Linked DNA regions of Rattus norvegicus. The protein of the gene in region 1 interacts with the protein of each later gene in a biochemical or structural test. Links are inferred from orthologs where the notes say so. Each region holds a gene or a part of one and is shown in the gene's direction. Other genes may lie near its edges.

Evidence for each region.
Region 2: the proteins of Ston2 (region 1) and Syt1 form a complex in vitro, tested with the Homo sapiens proteins (2 studies listed by BioGRID). The link is inferred for Rattus norvegicus from reciprocal best matches to the Homo sapiens genes STON2 and SYT1.

What each region holds. Positions count from the first base shown.
Region 1 is NC_086024.1:116,294,672-116,305,210, reverse strand, and holds the end of Ston2 (stonin-2), read left to right. Parts: intron 1-4,755; coding exon 4,756-4,958; intron 4,959-6,555; coding exon 6,556-6,639; 3' UTR 6,640-7,013; downstream 7,014-10,539. UniProt on the Homo sapiens protein: Adapter protein involved in endocytic machinery. Involved in the synaptic vesicle recycling. May facilitate clathrin-coated vesicle uncoating.
Region 2 is NC_086025.1:45,841,462-45,852,000, reverse strand, and holds part of Syt1 (synaptotagmin-1), read left to right. Parts: intron 1-3,713; coding exon 3,714-3,898; intron 3,899-9,495; coding exon 9,496-9,618; intron 9,619-10,539. UniProt on the Homo sapiens protein: Calcium sensor that participates in triggering neurotransmitter release at the synapse. May have a regulatory role in the membrane interactions during trafficking of synaptic vesicles at the active zone of the synapse.

The sequences.
Region 1 (10,539 bases):
GTGTGTGAGTGTGTGAGAGTGTTGTGTGTGTATGTGTGTGTGAGTGTGAGAGAGTGTTATGTGTGTGAGTGTGTGTGTGAGTGTGTGAGAGTGTTGTGTGTGTGAGTGTGTGTGTGTGTGTGTGTGTGTGTGTAAGCACATATGTGTAGAGGCCAGAGACTGTCATCAGATGCCATTGGTAGGGTGCTGGCCACCCCGTTTGGGAGAAAGATTCTCTCACTGGCCTGGAACTCCATTTGCCAAGTTCAGCCAGGGTCCCGAGTGATCTGCATGTCTTTGTTTCCCTACCGGTGGTTCATGCGTTCTGTTGTTTTAATTATTTTACTATTTTATGTATGGCCTTTTGGGCCGCACATATGTCTGTGCACCCTATGCATGCACTGCCCTCAGAGGCCACAAGAAGGTTTCAGATCCCATAGAACTGAAATTACAGAGGTTTGTGCCTTACCATGCAGTTGGTAAGAATAAAACTCAGGTTCCCTGCAGGAGCAGCCAGTGCACTCAGCCTCTGGGCCTTGTCTCCAGCCCACCCCAGCCACGGGACTATCTGCAGACCCCCCACACCTGCCTCTTTTACCTGACACCAAATCCAGGTCCCTGTGTACACATTTTACTTGTTCAACCATCAACAAGTTCTGTTGAAGTGTTTTTCCTTCTGGAACCCATTGAAGTATTAGGACTAGGAGCAAGTATTAGTATTAGTGCCAGAAGCAGTTCATTCCCAGGTCCCAGAACATGTGGGTTCTGAAGAGGAATCCTTCCAACGACAATCCCCTTGATGAAGGTGAAAGAGTCAGTGTACATCCAGGCATAGGCACAGTCTGTGTGAGAGCTGCGCCTTCCGCAACGAGCCACTGTTGGTCATGGTGTATTAGACCCAGAGTTTGGTTTTGGGACTCGTGATGGAAAAGAGATTAAGTAGCCAGGATACCAGGGTCCAAAGGGCTGAAGTTCCAGCAGACAGAAAAATAAAGAGTGTTTGATTTGAACAAACAAACTTCCCAGCCTAGCTGTCCTGCTCACAGCCAGCGGCTTCGCTACTGTGTCTGGGAAAGCCCAGGAGGCAGTTACTAGCAAAACTTCTTGACTGAGAAAGCAAGACCATGCTAACGGCTTTATTTCTGGAGTATGTCGACGTGACCTCAGTGGCCCGCAAAGAGCCTGTGATCCCACAAGCCCTTAAACCACTTCTCTTGTCTGCAATAAAGCGTGCCCATCTGTTAAGGAAAGTGGATTAGCTAGTCAGAGGAAAATCGCACCGCTGCTTTCTTATGGTACCTCTGCTAAACTATTACAGTGCGTCCAGGGTATGCTGCTACAAGTGTGGATTTGGTTGCGTTATCATATCTCAAATGGAATTCGATGAGATAGACAGAGGAACTGCGGCTGCCCGGGAGAAGGCAAACACCGGCCTTCTGTGTCAGACACTGGGTGCGGCAATGCAAGCTGAGGAGACAATCAGACCTCTGTGCTGGAGGCTGGGGCGGCCACCCTCCGCTCCTACGCTGGGTTTTAAAACAGTCTTCAGCCCTGTGCTGGCTGTCTCCTCTCTCCCCTGCTCAGCACTGGGTTCTTCTCCCGGGGCTTATGTGCTGGCTGCCTCAGTCACTGGGGCCCATCTCGCTTGACAGTGGAAACGAGAAGCCCTGAGTTCTCCTGTGGCACAAAAGCCCCGGGGAAGAGAGAACTGTGTGTGAAAGGACTGGGCTTTCAAGCTTGGGACCTCAGAGGAGAGGCTAAGATCTGACAGGTGACATTACTCACCTGAAATCACAAAAAACACACACAAGGGTCTCTTCTTCATACCACAGCTCCTCTTTATACATGAGCAGAATACGTACACGCCTCAAATAATCTACACCCTGGAAACACAGATGTGTAGTTTCTCAATGTGTGCAAATAATATCAAAGTGACTTAAAATACTCAAAAGTACTGCGAGGAGGATTTTAGTCAAGGCTGACCTTAAATGGGTAGGAGTAGAGGCCTTCGGTATGAGTAGATCATTGAAATGAGGAAAGGTTAAACATCAGACATCAGAAAAGAAAGCTCTGAAGCAGCCCTAGTCACAGAAACTAATGGTCATCTCCTCAGTACAGCCATGGAGACAATTTTTGTGTCAGTCATTTTTGGTCCGTGGGCAACTTGGCTCAAGTTGACAAGTGACCAGAGCAATCAAGATGGCAGATAGTGCCGGAGAGGTTTATTGTCCTAAAGGAGAGAGAAAAAAGGATTGCCACCAGAAGAAACAGACCATGGGCAGAGGGCAGAGAGACAGCAAACAGATGTTCAGCAAATAGTTCTTTAATGCTCAGTAGGCTGAAGCCAAGTGACGGGCTGCTTGTGTATTACACTCGTTATTAGTTTATTAGAATTTCTTCAGGGAGGTCGGGACGGGGTTTCTCTGTGCAGCCCTGGTTATCCTGGAACTCTGTAGACCAGGCTGGTCTCAAACTCAGAAATGCCCCTGTCTCTGCCTCCCAAGTGCTGGAATTAAAGATGTGCCAGCTGTTAATTTCTTGCTTGATTAAAGGAGTGAAACTCCACTGTGTAGTAACATCAATCTGATTTTTAATGCTAAGTTTCATCAAGAAAGACCCAATAACGTAAAGATGTTCTTATTATTATAACCATGAATTGAATTATTCAAATTTTAAAATGGTTTAGCCCCACCTGTCCACCACACTTACACATTAAATAGCTGAAGCTAGGAATTCAAGTCAAGATTTGGCTTTCAGAGTTCCCGTGAGTACGCTCTGAGACAGTCAGAGAAGGAAGTCACCTTTTAAACAGAGAAACCACTTCTCAATATTCCAGACAGAAATGTCAGAGAAAGCTGATTAGAAAAAACAAAAACAAATGTTCAAGTCTCTATCTGAGTTAAGAGGCCTTCCACAGTGTAGTGACCACATTCCATAGCAGCTCACCATGTATGTAGGACCTGGTTTGGAGTCAGTGAGATCTGAATTTTATTCTTGGTGCTGCTGCTTAATGGTGGTATGACCCCATGCAATCGACTTAACTATGTCGGAGAAACCTAATTTTTCTCACTTATGAGACAGAGTAATTAGTACCTAGCTCATTCAGAACAAAACTGGGTAATGCTGTTAAATGTGAAGCATAGTTGTAGTATTGGTGACAAACGAGAGCTCTGTGATTAGTCCGTGGCACCCAAAACAATAGATTGAACAGGCGTGTTTTGAGATATCATCAAGTTTGTGTGTGTGTGTGTGTGTGTGTGTGTGTGTGTGTGTGTGTGTGTGTGTGAGAGAGAGAGAGAGAGAGAGAGAATGTGTGTGTGTGAGTGAGAGAGAGAATGTGTGTGTGAGAGAGAGTGTGTGTGTGTGTGATAGAGAGAGAATGTATGTGTGAGAGAGTGTGTGTGTGTGAGTGAGAGTGTGTGTGTGTGAGTGAGAGAGAGTGTGTGTGTGAATGAGAGAGAGTGTGTGTGAGAGAGAATGTGTGTGTGTGAGAGAGAGTGTGAGTGAGAGTATGTGTGTGTGTATGAGAGAGACAGAGTGTGTGTGAGAGAGAAAGTTGTGTGTGTGAGAGAGAATGTGTGTGTGTGTGTGTCAGAGAGAGAGAGAGAGAGAGTGTGTGTGTGTGTGTCAGAGAGAGAGAGAGAGAGAGAGAGAGAGAGAGAGAGAGAGAGTGAGAGTGAGATTTTGGTTCCTTTCCTAAAAGTCAGTGCAAATTTTTCAGTTAAATATCCTAGCCTTATTCTTTAGAAATAACCATTAAATTGTGCTACATCTGTGAAAAACAAATGCCTCACTCTGGAGTGATTTCCTCGGAGAGAGGGTGTGTGTCTCCTGATTCTCCGAGATGGGAAAATCCTGCCCAGAGCAATAAAGGAAATTGAAATTGTTGACTCTGAGAGGCAGGAAAGAGTTACACCGTCGGTCAAAGCCGCATCACAGTTTATCCGTAGTCATTGTGCATGTCTCATCTCCACACTGCCATCCTGCAACCTGGTCTCCATGTTTGGGGACCATGAAATTATGACTCAGACAAAGGGGTCCACAGTCCCAGCTGTAAGACTTTTTGCTGTGACCCGTGGCGGCTTGCTTTATGCACAGAACCCTCAGCCAGATGAGAGCATTGGTCCAGTGCACTGTGTCCCCCAGTTTCATGTGTGCTGTCTATAAATCCGTCACTTTCATATGTCACCCACCCACAGAAACATGCCCGAGGCACCTCGGAAAATATAAAATGCTATTAGGGGAATTCATCTTTTACAGGAAAGCAGTTTGCTGCAGGCGGCTGTCACCCATGTTTTATTAGGTGCCAAGTGCTAATCTAATCTCAGCTGCTCCTTCTTCCGCTGTCAAGCCTCTCTCTCAGTGTTCCTGCTGTCTGCACAGCTCTGGGACCTAAACAGTCAGAAAAACACTGTGGGTTTTGTTTTCCATTTGTTTTTTTGTTTGCTTTCACTTTTCGTTGTGAGCTGCCTTGTGGGTGCTGAGAACCGAAACTAGGTCCCCTGGGAAGACCAGCCATTGTTCTTAACCATTGAGCCATCTGTCCAGCCTCCACAGGCTGGAATTCCAGGCTGTGGTTACCAGGAGGACTGGATGAAAGGGTCCGGGGCACACGGAGCCTGATGTCCGCCCAGGGGAAGTTTATCACTGGACCCTCAGCGAGCAGGTGCAGCGCCGGCAGCCCTCCATTATTACCAGCGGGGCTCTTTAGCCTCCTTTCCTTTTTAATTTTTTCCTTAGAGAACTCAACCTCTGGATACTTTCTTTCTATTACAGCTTCTGGCCACCCACACTGTTTCTTTTGCCACCTTGAACTTGGCTCTGACCGGGAAGTGCCTTCCAGATTTGCCAATCATGTAAACGTCGAGTTCAGCATGCCCACGACGTCTGCCTCCAAAGCAGCTGTGAGATCCATCTCTGTGGAAGACAAGCCCGATGTCAGGAAGTGGGTCAATTATTCCGCACACTACAGCTACAAGGTAGCCTCAGGAGGGCTTCGGGCCCATGTTTCCACATCCGTTTGTTAGCCCCACAGCTTCCCCTCGTGCCTTCCAGCAAATGCTTCTTATATCAAGGCACTTCACATTCATAGCTGTGGATGAATCTGCTTAATGAAATGATCTCTCGTGGGTAAGAAGAGAGGCTAGGCCAAAAAAAAAAAAATTAAGGGGCTGATGAGACATCATGAATAGTAACAAAAAGAACAGTCGGACCAAGTGATACTTGTTCCCGGTCTGTGACAGGGTTCCTGTTTTGGTGTGAGGCACTGTAAGTAAGAGGGCAAACTTAAAAGCCAGCCCTTTCACAGTGACAATGGGATGGGGAACGTGGGAGGTGTCTGCAGTCAAAGCTGGAGAGCTGCTTTTATTGGGGGGAAACGGGGGTGTCTGAAGGCAGGATCCCTCCCTGTAGCTCAGCCCAACTTCAAGTTCTGCTTTCCTGCCTGTGAAGATTATAGGCATATCTCCATGAAGCAAGGGCTTACAACACACCAAAATGATAATTCCCCGCAGAGGTAGCCGTTTGGTAGATCAAGCTCCGAAGAGGGAAGAGAAAGGCATTGGTGAAAGGTTTCGCAAAGTCATTTGATCATTTCCTACATATAATGATTCCCACAGATTTATGTAATTTATTATTCTTTTTAAATATTTTCTTAGTTGTATCATGGAAAACTATTTCTTTAACTACCAAGAAGAACGAATGCCCCATCTTGTGGCCAGGGGAAAACTAGCAGTTCCCCACAACCATGGCTGTAAGCTACCTTCAGTTGTTGCCTCTAAAGGGAGAGGCTTAACATTCCGTGCAGTGATGAGAAGCACTTATGGGACCCCTAAGTGCAAAGGAGTGAGTCCCTTCCCAACTTACCAGAGGCTGTAGTCAGGGTGTGTTACTCTTTAAAAGGATTTTATTTATGTATTGAATGTGTGTGGATATTCTCTCACATGCATGCACAAACAGTGGCGTGCCACCATGTGGGTGCTGGGAATTGAACTCAGGCCCTCCAGAGGAGCATCCAGTGAGTGCTTTTAACCACTGAGCCATCTCTCCAGCCAAAAGAGCAACTTCTGGACAGTATTTTGCAGGAGATAGAATAGAACAATAAACGTTCCAATACGTATTAGTTTAGAGACATTTTTTTTAAATGAAGTAATTGGAGGTGCTTAAGAGGTCAGCTACAAATGGTTCTCTAAACCATTGTCAGTTGCCTACTAGAATCCCACACCATTGGATAAAGTCAGCTAGATCTTGCCCTTATCCCATGAACCTATGGAATAGTGGAGACAGGGACAGTGGATATATTCAGAGGAAACTCGGTCTCCCTCCTGAGTGGGCAGCAAAGGTAATATCTGAGCAAATCTGTGAGACAAAGGATGGATGAGAATTTTCCAGATGGACCATGAAGAAGGGGAATGCCACACCTCCACGGGGATCCTGGGATACTCAGGAGTAGGTGCTCCTCTGTGGCAGATGCCCAGAACATTCACAAAATTCCGGGCAATCCCAAGGGACCTCCGGGGTGCTTCTCCTCTCGCTTCCCCTTAGTCCTGACAGTTTCTTCATCTTTTCTTTTGGCAGGTGGAAATTGAACAAAAAAAGAGTTTGAAGCCAGACTTTGAGGGAGAGGACTTGGAAAACCCAAAGGAATGTGGGGTACAGTGACAGTGACCCACCTCAAGGAACTGAGGACCGCTGACTCGCAACCGGGTGTCTTCCCCGAATAACTCAAGTTTAAGTCGACACCTGCTGCGGCTGCTCCACATTGGGGGCTGCCTACCTCCGTTTCCTGTGTGCACCTACCTGTGGGTCACAGGAAATCCTGAGGGGGGCTGCCTTCAGTAGGCCCCTTGACACTGAGCATGCCCGAAGTACGTGGCACACCTGGCTTCTGGAGTTTACCAAGTATTGAGCCTCCTTGTCTCTTTTCTGCTTGTATCATGGCACTGGTATGTGGTTTGTGGTGACTATTAGAAACCCAGAAAGAACCGCCAGCATCAGTGTTGGCACAATTTGCCCCCAGTACTCACATGTCACTTGTAAAATTCTGGAGAAAATAGCCCTGAAAGTTTATTAAGAATCCATCTCTATTGCTCCCTCTGTACAAGATTCCAGGAAGTTCCAAAGCCATTTCTTTGGGCCTGCTTTTCTAGATATCTCCATGTTTTTAAACATGGGCATTCTGCAACAGAGGTTTCCCAAATGTTTCCCTTCTAGTTCTAGATTGCTCAAGATCAAAACACTCTTTCAACTTCTTCTCCATTTGCTGTCTTAAATATGGTGCATGATGGGAAAGGCTCCATCTGATATTTTCAAATTTAGGTTTGGAGCTTAATTCTACAAATGGACTAAATTGGCTTCACAGTCTGTTAAAAACAAAAAAACAGAACTTATTTTTCTTACCTAAAAGGAACATTAAATGTAAGCTTATATTTAGTTCGGAAGACAGCTTCGATCATAAAATATGCCAGATTCTCACTGGTCAGTTTTAATTCCTGAAACACAGCATGACTGTAATTCCGTGTGCGTAAAAGAGACACTTGGAAGTTCTTTTCATACCTCATACACAATGACTGTTACACATCTCTTCCCTCAAAATTCAGAGGAAACTTAAGCTAAAAAGATCATTGTAAAAGCTGAGTTTGGATGAGCTTTACCCCGAATTCTGAGGTTGGTTAGTTACACTATTGTGAAAGCTCAAAAGGGTGGTGGCGCACACCTTTAATCCCAGCATTTGGAAGGCAGAGGCAAATGGATTCCTGAGTTCAAGGTCAGCCTGGTCTACAGGATGAGTTCCAGGACAGCCAGGGCTGCAGAGAGAAACCCTATCTGGGAAGAAAACAAAAAACAAAAAAACAAAAAACAAACTAAAAAAGGCAGAAGGCTCCAGTGTAGGGCTGGGGAAAGCCGGTCTCCCAGTGTCATGACCATGAAATCCTGATTCCCAGACTCAGGCCAGCATCCCTTTCCTTACATTTCCCACCCTGCCCCCTGCTCCCCCACCCCTGCTTATTTGTACTCTGTTGATTGCTCTCATGAAGAAAAAAGTGAGGGGACTGAGTACATATTTTATCAGACTTGGGGAATATATGGAAATAAGTAGAAAATGCCTGCAGTTTGGGACTAACTGATTCAAGCTTTTTTTTTTTTTTCAGCTCCTATCTAGTGATCTAGGTATTAGAAATCATGGCAGTACTTTGAACCATGTGTTTAACTCTCTAAGCATTAGATTGGAATGAAAAGGACAAGCTACATAGGCCCACATGAGAAGACCTGTATTTTGAGTTTTTCAAATGCAACCCTTTCAGTATAGAGGGGTGTGTGTGTGTGTGTGTGTGTGTGTGTGTGTGTGTGTGTGTGTGTGTGTGTGTTTTGATGAGAACTAGGGAGACTTGATATTAATAGCAGTCCATATAGAAATGTTTTCTTGCTGAGTTCAGTCTTGAACCAGGGATAGATCCACAGCTATTCTCAAGGCTAATTCCTTCTATCTGTGGTGGTAGGTCATTAACAACTGTGCATGATGCACTGGCCTGTGCATGCCTGAATGGAGGGTTACATTCAAGTATGGCTACTGTATTTTAGGGGTGACACTAATAAGTCGACCGTATCCACAAGCAGGTGACCAGGGTTGTGACGATCCTGGTTATATAAGGAACAGGGGGCAGCTCTCCTGCAGAACAGAGGGCATAGCTGGGAAGGGAGTGCAGGGAAGTTGGGAAATGAAAGAACAGCCAATAACCAACTCAAGGTTTCTGCTGCACTAGGGAAAGAAGAGGAGTTAGCATAACCTCAAAGGCAAAAAGAAATAGGAACAGAAGAGAACTTTCCAGATGACAGATGTTTGCTCAGTATAAGAATCTCCTAGGAAAGAAGCGTTCTAAAGTTGAGAGGGTCAAGAAGATTTCCTGCTGCAGCTAGTGCCCAAAAGTCAACAGAGCCACCTATCCCAGGTGCTCCGGAAGGGACTATCACATTGGAGTGGTCAAGATGGCAGGAAAACTCTTATTCAAACAGCCTTGATGGGAATGAGGCTGGCTAGCTCCAGACAGCCTTTCCTCTGTGGGTTTTTTTTTTTTTTTTTTTTTTTTTTTTGTGCTGTTGGAGGGCAGTGGAGCTCTCGAGAAGAACTCAGTCATTGAAGTCCATGTCATTTCCACTGTAAGGCTAACGATCTTGAGAGTGTCAGATGACCAACAGGCTGGGCAGTTGGCAGGATAGGGGAAGGTCTTCCCTGGCTTAGCCCTGTGCCAGGAGCCCTGCCCGGGCTGCTAACATGCACAGCACCTGTTTTCTCTTGTCCCTCCCACCCCCTTGGTTTAATTCTTCCTGCCTTGGTGCTTCACCTGGACTGTTTAGATTTTTGTTTTTGTTTTGCCCTAATCAAAAGGTGAAAAAAAATCCCCTCTGTGCTATTTATATTTAGCAAGCAAATTATCACTAATTTTTAAGTATAGACCACCCTCTGGGTTCCATCAAATTTGGTTCACCTCTACTGCGCTTAGGGTCATATGAATAACATGTAAGGAGGTGAAATGTAGTTCAGAACTTACTGAAAACCTACCTAAAAACTGGAATTGGGCAAATCACCCTTTTCATGTGCAGAGTGTATGCTTGCCACAGCGGCCCTCAACTTTTATTTTCCTGTGCTTAAAAAAAAAAATCTAAATCTGTTATCAACGACATAAAATTTTGAAAAAGGATTGATTTTTACCAATACAATTAGGACACATTAGTTGTCACATAGTATCTAAATACAATTAGGACACATCAGTTGTCACATAGTATCCAAAGCTATTTTTGAGTCTAGGGCTTCTCTGTTTCAACTTTACAGTGAGACAGGACAAAAAGTAAATAAGCCTTCCAATATATCAGACAAGAGGTCTGGTCATGTAGCTCAGTAGGAGAGAACTTGCCTACCATGCACAAGGTCCTGGGTTCAACCCCCAGTACCACAGAAACAACAACAGAAAAGAGTGGTGGGTATTTAGAGGGCAGATCCCTGAAGCCCCTCTTGTTGACACAATGCTGGTTACTCCTTGGGAAAAGTTAGCCCTTCTTCCTTATCCTCTGGACTTGCTTCCTCATCTACCCGAGACCTCCTCACATCTACTGTGAGGCCTTATCCTCATGGGTGTCCCTTAATTTAGAAGACTTCTTATCTGAAGTGAGACTAATCTCTGCTTAGAAACACAGTTGAGATCAAGAGTTTATGTCCCTAGAAACTCCGTTCCTGAGAAACGTGGTAGCGACTAAAACTGTTTTAGTCATCGTGACTCAAATGCCTATAACAAGTGCGAGCCAGCAGGGCTCGGCCGCTTTCAATATTTAAATCAAATATGCCCGTTAAATACATGGAAATTATTGACACTTGGACCCTGAGACTACTTACTCTCTGCTTACAGCTAGCAAGCCGCTTTTATTTCCTGGAGGACTTAAGTAATCACTTTGCTCCGCTTTGACCCCTGCCTGCAGTGTCATCCAAGTGTCAGGATGGTGACGCTTAATGTGTGGCTGAGTCTGACCTACAGTGCACTTATTCATACCAAGAAACACTTCTACTCT
Region 2 (10,539 bases), on another chromosome or scaffold:
AAAATGTTTTCTAAGTATATGCATATTTAAAATAATAATTACTATTTTAAATGACAACAAATCATTTTATACCAGTTTACTGTAAACCACCCAATATACTATATCACATAGTCAGTAATCCCACTGGGATTTAAAAAATGTATCTAGCAATTTTACATAAACTCCTGTCAATGCTAATACTTGCAGTAAACTTAAAGAGTAAATATTAATTGACTAAAAAGAGAAAAGAGGAGCATTCCCAAAAATAGCACACAGAAAGAACATAATGATAGGAACAGCAGAGAGATGCCAACCTCTGTGGCCTGCTCTCAGCTTCCACGAAGCAGGATGTGTAAATCATAAAGGACTTTTGTCTGCCTACCACCAGTCTAACTTAAACTATCATATAAAAAAAAAAGTTTCCTTTGGCTTAATCCTTATGTATCTATTTGCCTTTGGTTCAAGAAATACAGGAAAAATAGCTCATTAACTAGAAAATTAAAAATAATATTTTCAGGGTTTTCACCCTTGTTTATTACTTTTTGCTGGAAGCCTTTAAGTTGAATGTTAAAATTCTGATTTGAAATCTCACGTGTCGGTGGTTGATAGTGAGAAGCGGCATCTGAATACTGTGCCAGCAAGCGATGTTTTGATGGACACGGATTCATACCAAGGACATTGCTCCTGGCCACATTTTAGACAGTTGTTTGTTTGCTTTATTGGATTTTTCTTCCATTTAAAATGCCCTACCTAAAAAAGCCTCAAACCCAGACGTGACTTTTTCCTTCGTATGCTTCTTTTAGTTACACACTTTTTTAGCCGAACAACCTAGAGACATTGAAATTCCTCGCGATGCTCAGTCTGTTAGGTTTTGCTTTGTAAAACCAAAGTGATAATGAACAAAATTGCTGTGAAGATTAAAAGAAACGCTAAACTCATCTCAGTGGTTAGGCCCTCAGAGGCAGCTTCCAACAGTCCAAACTGGATTCTGTGAGATTGGCTCGCCACAATAAAACTGAACTGAGCGAACTGCTCATGGACACACTGTGTTCAGATAATTTTATCCATTAAAAGAAGCTATTTCCTTTACATTATTGTTGACTTCTTCATGGATGTACAAATTAACTAGAGTAAGGGTTTTTTAATTCCATCCGAAGGTATTAGTAAACCTGAGGAAAACTCTAATAATTATATATAAGATTAAAATTAGCCTGCACTCCAGATCAACTGAAAAGCAGACTTCCATTAGAAACACCTTAAGAAACAAAGGTCACAAAATGAAACTTTTCCAGTGGTTTGAAATCACCTTCCTGCAAACCCATCTTCCCTCTCTTTAACCGTTTTTGATTAAATAATGTTCCTCTGCTCTTACCGCCTATTTTCTTTGTGTGAACTTGTCCAATCATCTCAGTCTTTTCTTTTGTAGTTTAAGAGGCCTTTATGTAGCTCTCTGAGAGACTAACACAAAAATCTGACTGGGAGAATAGTTTCTGAGATTTAGAACGCAGGGCCATTATTAACACTGTCTTGCCTGCAGTGAGCACACAGCACCTCCCCCACCTCCCCGCCCCACCCCTGTTCACACATGGCAGGATTTTAACTCAGTCATCAGGGGTAGAGTCAGCTAAGTGAAGGCTTGGGAATAATATCATTGGTCGTGTGAGCTCGCATTGATTTCCACGTTTTAAAAAAAGGCACGGGTTGTTCAAATAGATTCACGGACATAAGAAAAACACGTTGTAGGGTGTGTACTTATCGCTACCATTCCCACAAGTACTTCTGTGGCTATAAACATGGTATCAAAAGTGGTAATTTTATACGTCTTTAGGTTCTTATCTAGTATCTAATAATATGCAGAGTGGATGTTCTTCACCACAAAGCTCAACGCAGAGAGAGCACACAAGAGCAGATTTTCTGGTTTGAAGAGAGGTTAATTTTAAGTGTTTTTACTTTATCAGAGTACTCCTGACTTGTGTTCGACCATCATTGGCACTAATGATGTTTATGCGGCTCAAAGAAAATTAGGCTTTTTCTTAGTATTTCAGTGCCCAATGTTTTTTTCTTATTAGAACAGACAAATCTAATTACTTCTGATGAATCTGAAGAGCTGTGATTTGAATCATGAATAATTCCTTTCCAGTCAAAGTTAAATCTCAAACGCACCCGTGGAACTTAGCTTTTTATAAGCACGTTGTACACAGATGCTAAATAAGGGGACGTTTTAACTCATAGCAGTTGGACAACTACAACAGAAAACTCTGTGTGTGTGTGTATGTATGTGTGTGTATGTATGTGTGTATATGTGTGTATGTGTATGTCTGTGTGTGTATGTATGTATGTGTGTATATGTATGTGTATGTGTGTGTATGTATGTGTGTATGTGTGTGTATGTGTGTGCGTATATGTGTGTGTATGTGTGTGTGTGAGTATGTGTGTGTGTGAGAGTATGTGTGTATGTATGTGTGTTATGTGTGTGTATATGTGTATGTATGTGTGTGTTATGTGTGTGTATGTATGTGTGTGTATGTATGTATGTGTGTATGTATGTGTGTGTATGTGTGTGCGTATATGTGTGTGTATGTGTGTGTGAGTATGTGTGTGTGTGAGAGTATGTGTGTATGTATGTGTGTGTTATGTGTGTGTATATGTGTATGTATGTGTGTGTTATGTGTGTGTATGTATGTGTGTATGTATGTATGTGTGTATGTGTATGTATGTGTGTGTATGTGTGTATGTATGTGTATGTATGTGTGTATGTGTGTATGTATGTGTGTGTGTGTATGTGTGTGTATGTGTGTGTGTGAGTATGTGTATGTGTGTGGTATCTACTCTGTTATGTTAAACAGAGCCTAAAAATCTACCTCCTCTATCACCCAAAACTCATCACTTCCTCTTCTCCATTCTCTTTGTGTTCTCACTGCTTCAGGGTGTCCACCTTTCTTTCGATATCTCTCTTCAAAAATCTTGTGTCTCCTTAAAGATTCTTGAAGTCCCTGGATCCTATGCGTTAAATACAAAAAGAAATGATAGCTACCAGTACTTGAGTTCCTGGTGTGTTCTGGGTGCCATTCTTAGGATTTTTTTCAGTCTATTAATTTTAATCAGACAGTATATTCTCCACTTGATAGAGAAATAAACAGAAATCACATTAAGCAATCAGGGAGTAGTCATACAGCCTCTGCCTGGCCAAACCCTCTCCATGATCTTTTCTCAAGGCACCAAGTATACTTACTGCTTGCCTTCAACATGGTTGTAATTTTTACAATTGGCTTTTATTCGTGTGGTTAATATCTGCACATTCTACCATGCCAGAATATATTAACAACTATAATGTTATCAATAAGGAAGCATTCCAGTGAACATTAGTTAAGCTTTCATGCTAGCCACTGCATCTCAATAATTCTTGTAAGACTCACCAAACTACTTGCTAATTTTTCCTCTACTGAATAGATGAGGAAGCTAAAGCAGAGAGGGGGTTTGTACAAGATGCTCTGAATAAATGAAGAGTGAATGGGAAATTAGCTTGAAGCATATGGGAAAGGCAACGTGCAATATATGTAGAGGAAGAGGAAGAGTCCAGGCCAGGCTGCAGCACAGATAAAACCTACAGAACAGCACCACTGGGGCAAAACAAGAGCTGGGGAAATCCAGCCACAGGCCTGGGGTCTTCACTGTGCTTGGCTAACTGGTTCCACTGCTGATGTTCCTTTTCTGTCTCTCTCTCTCTCTTCCAGTGCCACCGTGGGCCTTAATAGCCATAGCCATAGTTGCGGTCCTTTTAGTCGTAACCTGCTGCTTTTGTGTCTGTAAGAAATGTTTGTTCAAAAAGAAAAACAAGAAGAAGGGGAAGGAAAAGGGAGGAAAGAACGCCATTAACATGAAAGACGTGAAAGACTTAGGGAAGACCATGAAGGATCAGGTAATGCACTCGCCCCCTCGTGCCTGTTCACAGATGCCCCCGAGAATGCGCAGTGGGGTTGTGCTCTTTTCTGCAGATGCTCATAGACATAGACAACTTGAGGCTACTGTTGTTTGTATAGAGATGCTTGGCAGTCCTTTCAGGTGTTACTCGGTCTCCCAAAGTAGAGTGGAGTGGAGACAGACACAGTGGTATTTTTCTCACCTGATGACACACATATACCAGGAGAGGCTTCACACCACGAGGTGTGGCTTCATGGGCCTAGCACAATAAGACAATTCCTGAACATTTTTGTTCCATCATCAGCCAATCCTATCTGAGTGCTTTCTGCCTTGGACGGAGGCTCTTTCTGCCTCAGGCACTGCTCTAAGTCTCTGCTAAAGATCTTCCTCCTATTTGGTAAATGCCAACATGCTATGCACCCGGCCAGCTCAGCCCTCACATGCCGGAGATAATAAGTTATATCTGGTGAGGGGAGATAGGATCCAGTCCTAAAGAACAAAACCGAGTTGAAAGACAAAATTATATTTCCTCAATTAATGATCACAATTAGAACCCATATGTTGATAAACTATGTACCTGAGTGCCTTCCCATGCATAGAGATGATGTTTGGTTTCCCTGGCATTGCTGCCGATTTTTAACTACGTTAACTGGACAACTTAGTTAAGGTCAAGTTTAATAAAAAGTATTTAATGCTTCTTCAGTTTTTGAATAGTACTTACAATAAATGTTTCTAAATAAAATTTAATTCATATGAAATGAGAGTGTAAAGATTTTTCATCGAAATAATTTGGAAGCATTGTTTTCTATCAGATAATTTAAATGTTCTATTAATGTCCAAATAGGAAGTTGTGGAGGCAGTTTTGCTGATTGTTTTGTGGTATTAATTACTGTTAGCTGAATCGTTAACACATGCATCTAAGAGCAGTTTGACCAGGGCTTACCATAGCCTCATAGCACACATGTAGAGCGTCCTGGGTTTCCACACATGGACTCTCATATTCTAACCCTCCTTCCCAGTGTGAGTGTTAAACTCCTTCTCAAAGACCATGCAGTGTCTATGGACAGACACAGTCCACGTCCCATTCCCTGCAGTTCAGCTTGATTTCAGAGCTGTAGAGTGGATGAAAGTCTATTCTCCTGCTCAGAGACCTTTGGTCTGAGCTCAGGGTAACAAAGATTCAATTTCTCTGGCAGTTTCTCATCAGTCACAGAACCTCATGAACAACTACAGATAACTAAGAAGGATTTTCCCCTTCATTTAATTTGTTAAGTAGATACTCAAATTTTGGCTTATAGCAAGTAGAATTTAATACTGACATTTCTTCCTTCTTTATCTATTTAGTTTTTATTTTAGTTTTTTAAAGACAGAATCATATTTTTTTTATGATTATAGAAATAATTTACCTTGGTAAATACAGACTAGAAAATGCTATTTTAGCAATATCTTTGAAAAGAAAACTTTGAATAGACAATGCTATCGCTTTCATAATTATTATAAAATTCTATTGTGATTTTCTCGTGTCCTGAAGTGAACACGTAAAAGCATTGATTACTTTTTAGGTGGTAACTAAAGTGCTTCTTTCCAGGATAAGAGTGTTATATTTTCATTTGTGGATTTGTTCTGTATGATGTAACACTACAGTTGATGGCATAGAGCTGATATCCCCATTACACCATGGATAAATGACCTGGATCTCACATAGAGATTGATGGTGACTTCCCATCTCTCCTGCTCCTTCCAATGGGTTGGAGCAGAGGAATAGGAATCAAGTCATGAACTAGTAGAAAAGGCCAGTGATAGTCTATAATTACTTCCTTGATATAGCAAAGCATCTAGAATTTCAACCACTTTTGGTTTTAATTAATGTAAGTCAACAATGTCATGTACTCAGGGCTTTTAGCTAGGTATAATTGTCTTAATCTTCAATGTATAGAATAAAATATAATTGGAATAGGTGAAATTATGTTTCATGATAATTATATAATAATAGTATATGTTTCTACCAATCCTTACAAAAATAGCTAACAGCCTATGAATATGAAGGCTAAAGATGAAAAAAGTTTTAGAAGAATGACATGTCACATTGTGTCCCATAGTTCTCAAAATTATACAGATTAAATTCATTTTTAAACACTGTGCTTCCGAAATATTTTAAGTAGCATATCTCAGGGAACATAGGGAAGGAGATAAGAACAGTGTATGACTCTCTCAGTGAAGGACAGGACAGGGAAAAACAAGTTTTAGATGGAACTCCTGAGGCTATATAGGCTTGAGGGCAATCAATATGTTTTTATTACTTCAGAACATTCCAAACTCCCAGAAATTCAAATTTCAACGCTCATGGCTATGTATCTATATTAAGATTTCGTAACCAAAAAATAATTTTTTTAAAATTCAATAATGACTTCAAAAGTAAACTCTAGATAGAGCATATTTGTATTCCAAAAGATCCGTGTATTGGGGTTTTTTATAACACCTTGAGTCTTTAAATGACTAGCCATGAAGGGGAGATGATGGCAACTTGTAAGTAAGAAGCTTAGACAGGTCATTTCTCCATGGTTTTCACTGATGTGTGTGGATATTTTAATTTTTATTTCTTCCTTCTATGTCCCCCTTATCTGTGTTGTGTCTCATGACTGTTCTGGATTGTCCCTTGCGGTAGGTTTCTTCTGCTACTAGATACCCCAATCAATGCTGGTGGCTGGGCTCCACAGCGGGTGGCTTACCATTCTGACATCAAAAGGCTGAACTCAACTGATCTTCCACGATGATGTGTTTCATTTTAAACATGACTAACATGGGCTAAATAGAACAGGATTCAAAGGTTTTACATTAATAGATAGGAAAGAAAATGCAGTCCTTATGGCGCCTTTTAATGTCCCTTAGCAAATCCTGTCTGAACAATGTAACTTAGAATGAGGAAATACGTTTACTGATGACTGTGGAGTAGGTAAATATTGAACGCCAAAGCAAGCCACATGCATGCCCCTCTAAGCCTGTAAACTTTATAAAACCCTGATGTTCTCAACAAAGCTTTCCTGTTACAATCTGCCTGGCTTCAGAGATGCTGGGCTTACAGGCTTTTTCATCTCAGGTGGGTTTTTTTGTTTGTTTGTTTGTTTGTTTGTTTTTCCCTATGGAGGGAAAAATATTGCTCTCAACATATTATAATACTACTGATTTAATAGGTCTGAATTTAATGTAATGCACAGTGTACATGTTAATGAAGCTCGACCTCTAAGACAGGAATTAACTTCACTTTGGTGGTGAACAGGAGCACCAAAAAAAATATCAAAAATTTAATGAAAAATAGTTGCAGAGATGATCCTGCACTTTCTCTTCTGGCAAAAACCACATAGGAAAGAAGAGATTTAATATCTCAGCTATTTCAAATTTCATTTGGCTGAAACATGATGTATAAATTGTCGATTCTGAAAGGGGACTTTTGGAAAAGTATTTAAATTTGTGATTTTTTTTTTGAGAGAATGGGGTGACCCATCAGTATTTTCAGTCAGTGGGTCATTTAGGAATTTTCCATTCTTTTTTTTTTAAATCAAAATATTAAAAGGAGGTGAACTACCCAAACCATAATCTCTTTATCCACATCCTCTAAAGCAGTGCTAAAGACTGGACATAGCTAGGGTTCTCAGGGACAAATGGAGGCCACTATCTAGAGTGTTCTAGTCAGACTCAGCCATATTAACGCAGTTTATCAATAACTGTGCTGCTTATCAATAACTGTGCTGCTTCATGCTTTGGCCCCTTACAAAATTACTTTAATATTCAAGGAAGTTCCCAAGTATAAATTAATCTTTCCAAATTCAATAGTATAGGGCTAGCCACATTTGAAAATGGTAATTTCAATTTCTCAGACTCGTTGTAGACTCCTGAGATGTGTCAAAAGGCACAAAGGATGACACACGCGTGACGACAGCTCACCTCTGTTCAGACGCTCTTCTAAGCAGAGAGCAGAACTAATGAGCTATGTCAGCCTCCCTGCAGATGGGGGATCGTTGTGGGGTTAGCTGAAAGGAGCGAGACTGGAAGACAGAGCTTGCTATTTCAAGCAGCACAAGAGCTCGCCATGCAAGTGATGAGGGAGTGAAGGAGGCTCCACTGAGAAGAGAGACAGCAGAGGGAACATCTATGTGGACAGACAGACAGGAACAGCAAGATGGTGAACCAGGGTCCATTGGCCCTGGGACCTTTGCAGCCTGGCTAAACCTCTCATATTTGAATTCTGTAAGCATTCTGAAGGCCAGCTCCAGAGCTGATGCTAGTTAGACAACAGTAGAGAGTCACTAACGCTGACGAAATAGAGTGCAGCTCACTGCTTGTCGGCTCTATTTCTCGTCCTGTGAGATTCTGCAGTAGCAGACACAACAAATACGTGATGGCTTGATGGAAGCAGATAACACTCGCTCCATTAAAAACACAAGCAATGTAAAAATAAAAACCCACAAAGCAGAACAAAATATGTGAGTGCTAGTCAGATACCTTTAAATGTTTCAATTTTTCAAACATACTAGTGAACAGGGAGGTGGAACTTTTCATAATTTTCGATTGTGAAGAATGGCATTGCATAGAGTATACAAGTTTATCTATACAGCCCCATGAAGAAATCTTCCAGGAGCATAAACCCTTGTAGTAGAAATACCCAGCACAATTTTTACATTTTAGGAAAATATTATATCCTTTTCATTTTTTTGAAATACAGAAATTGTACATATTTTATGACATAATGACCTTTCAAATACTTTATTTTATGTTCTATCTTTTAGATTGAAAAATATATAATTGTATAGGTTTTCTAAGTCTAGCACCATGGCCCTTGTTGTTCAATGCAAAATGAACTTTATACCAATATAAGGTTTTCCAAAATGACAAACATGACTCTTCTGTCTTTGATATTAAGTAAAGTCAAATCAGTTTAATTCAGCCTAGCTTTCTGAGGAGCTGTTATGAAAATAAAATGGTAAAGTTCAGCTGGAAATGGACTGAACTTCTCTCTAAACAGCATTCACTGCTGGCATGTTTTCTCCTTTTCTTCTGAAATGTTACAATCATAGATGTGAAAACACAAAGAATTTACGGTTTTCCGAGGGTCACTCAGCCATCTTTGACAGAAGCCATAAGGCAGTGGAAGGCCATGCATTCCATGTGACTCTCCCCACTGCATGCACCAAGGATGTTTTACATGGTGCTGAGCACCACTGCAGCTACGAGAATGTGAAACCCAGCCTGGATACAAGCATGTTCACCACACTAGAAAAACCAAAAGAGGCAATGCGATCCGAGACAAGAGAACACCAAGTTGACGTTTTCCTTGCAACAATTTCATATTTTGCTTGCTACACTACCAGGGGGCTTCTGCCATTGCTTCCATGCTGCTTGCTGATTGGGGGTGGGGGGAGGTTCATGCACAAGTGAAATTAAAAACACGTGTGCGTTAGCAGCCAATGAGAATGTGTCAGACAAATAGACATCCAGCATCTTCCTGCTTGCTTCAAACAGCTTGGAGGTCTAACTATATGGCCAGTTGGATTTGGGCCTTGGTGAAAATTCGTTTGGATTTCTTTTTCGTCCTCATAGGCCCTTAAGGATGACGATGCTGAAACCGGACTGACTGATGGAGAAGAAAAGGAAGAGCCCAAGGAAGAGGAGAAACTGGGAAAGCTCCAATATTCACTGGACTATGACTTCCAGAATAACCAGGTCTGAGGGGAATGCGTCTAATTCCATTACATTTTCTGACACTACCAAGTAGGAACTGAAGCAAGAGAGTCCTTAAAACATTTCGTTTGCTGTGAGCGGAAAATGCAATTATCAAAGCTATTGATGAAATCATTTCTAAGTACAGGCAGTCCCCTAGCTGCTAATTTAACTTCTGGTAATTAGAATTCACAGTATTCAGCCGATTACATCTACTCGTGGCGCTGACAGGAGGCAGCCAGAATACAAATTAACTCCAAGCCATCAGTGGTTGCTTAGAGCTCCCAGCCAGACCAGTCGCCATAGGTCCCGCAGTGTGAGTAGGAACAACCTTCCTTGAACTGTATGATTCAGATTCCAAACCACACCAGCTGCCACCCACACCCACATTTAGAAAAATTAGTTTGAAAAGCCATAAAAGAATTAAAAATTGGCCAGTGCTCTATGAGTTTGTTTGTTTGTTTATACATTTTACAACCCAATATCAGCCCTTCCTTCCTTCCCAGTACACCCTTACACAAGTTCTCCTCCCTCCTCCCACTTCCTGTAGAAAGGATCACTCCCCTCTGGATGTCAAACCCCCACAGACACCCCCATCCCATCCCACACATCAAGTTGCTGCGGAACTCGGCACATTCTCTCCCATTGAGGCCAGACAAAGCTGTCCATTGAGAGATGCAGGTTCCACAAGCAGGTAGGCAGGCAATAGGCTCACCCACAACCCCTGTTCTAGTTGTTTGGGGACCCGTTATGAAGACCAAGCTGTTCATCTGCTACATATGTGCAGGAGGCCTAGGTCCAGCCCATGCTCGCCCTGTGGTGATTCAATCTCTGGCATCCCCAAGAGTCCAGGTTAGTTGACTCTTGTTGGTCTTCCTGTGGAGTGCCTGTCCTCTTTTAGTCCCTCAATCTTTTTCCTCAACT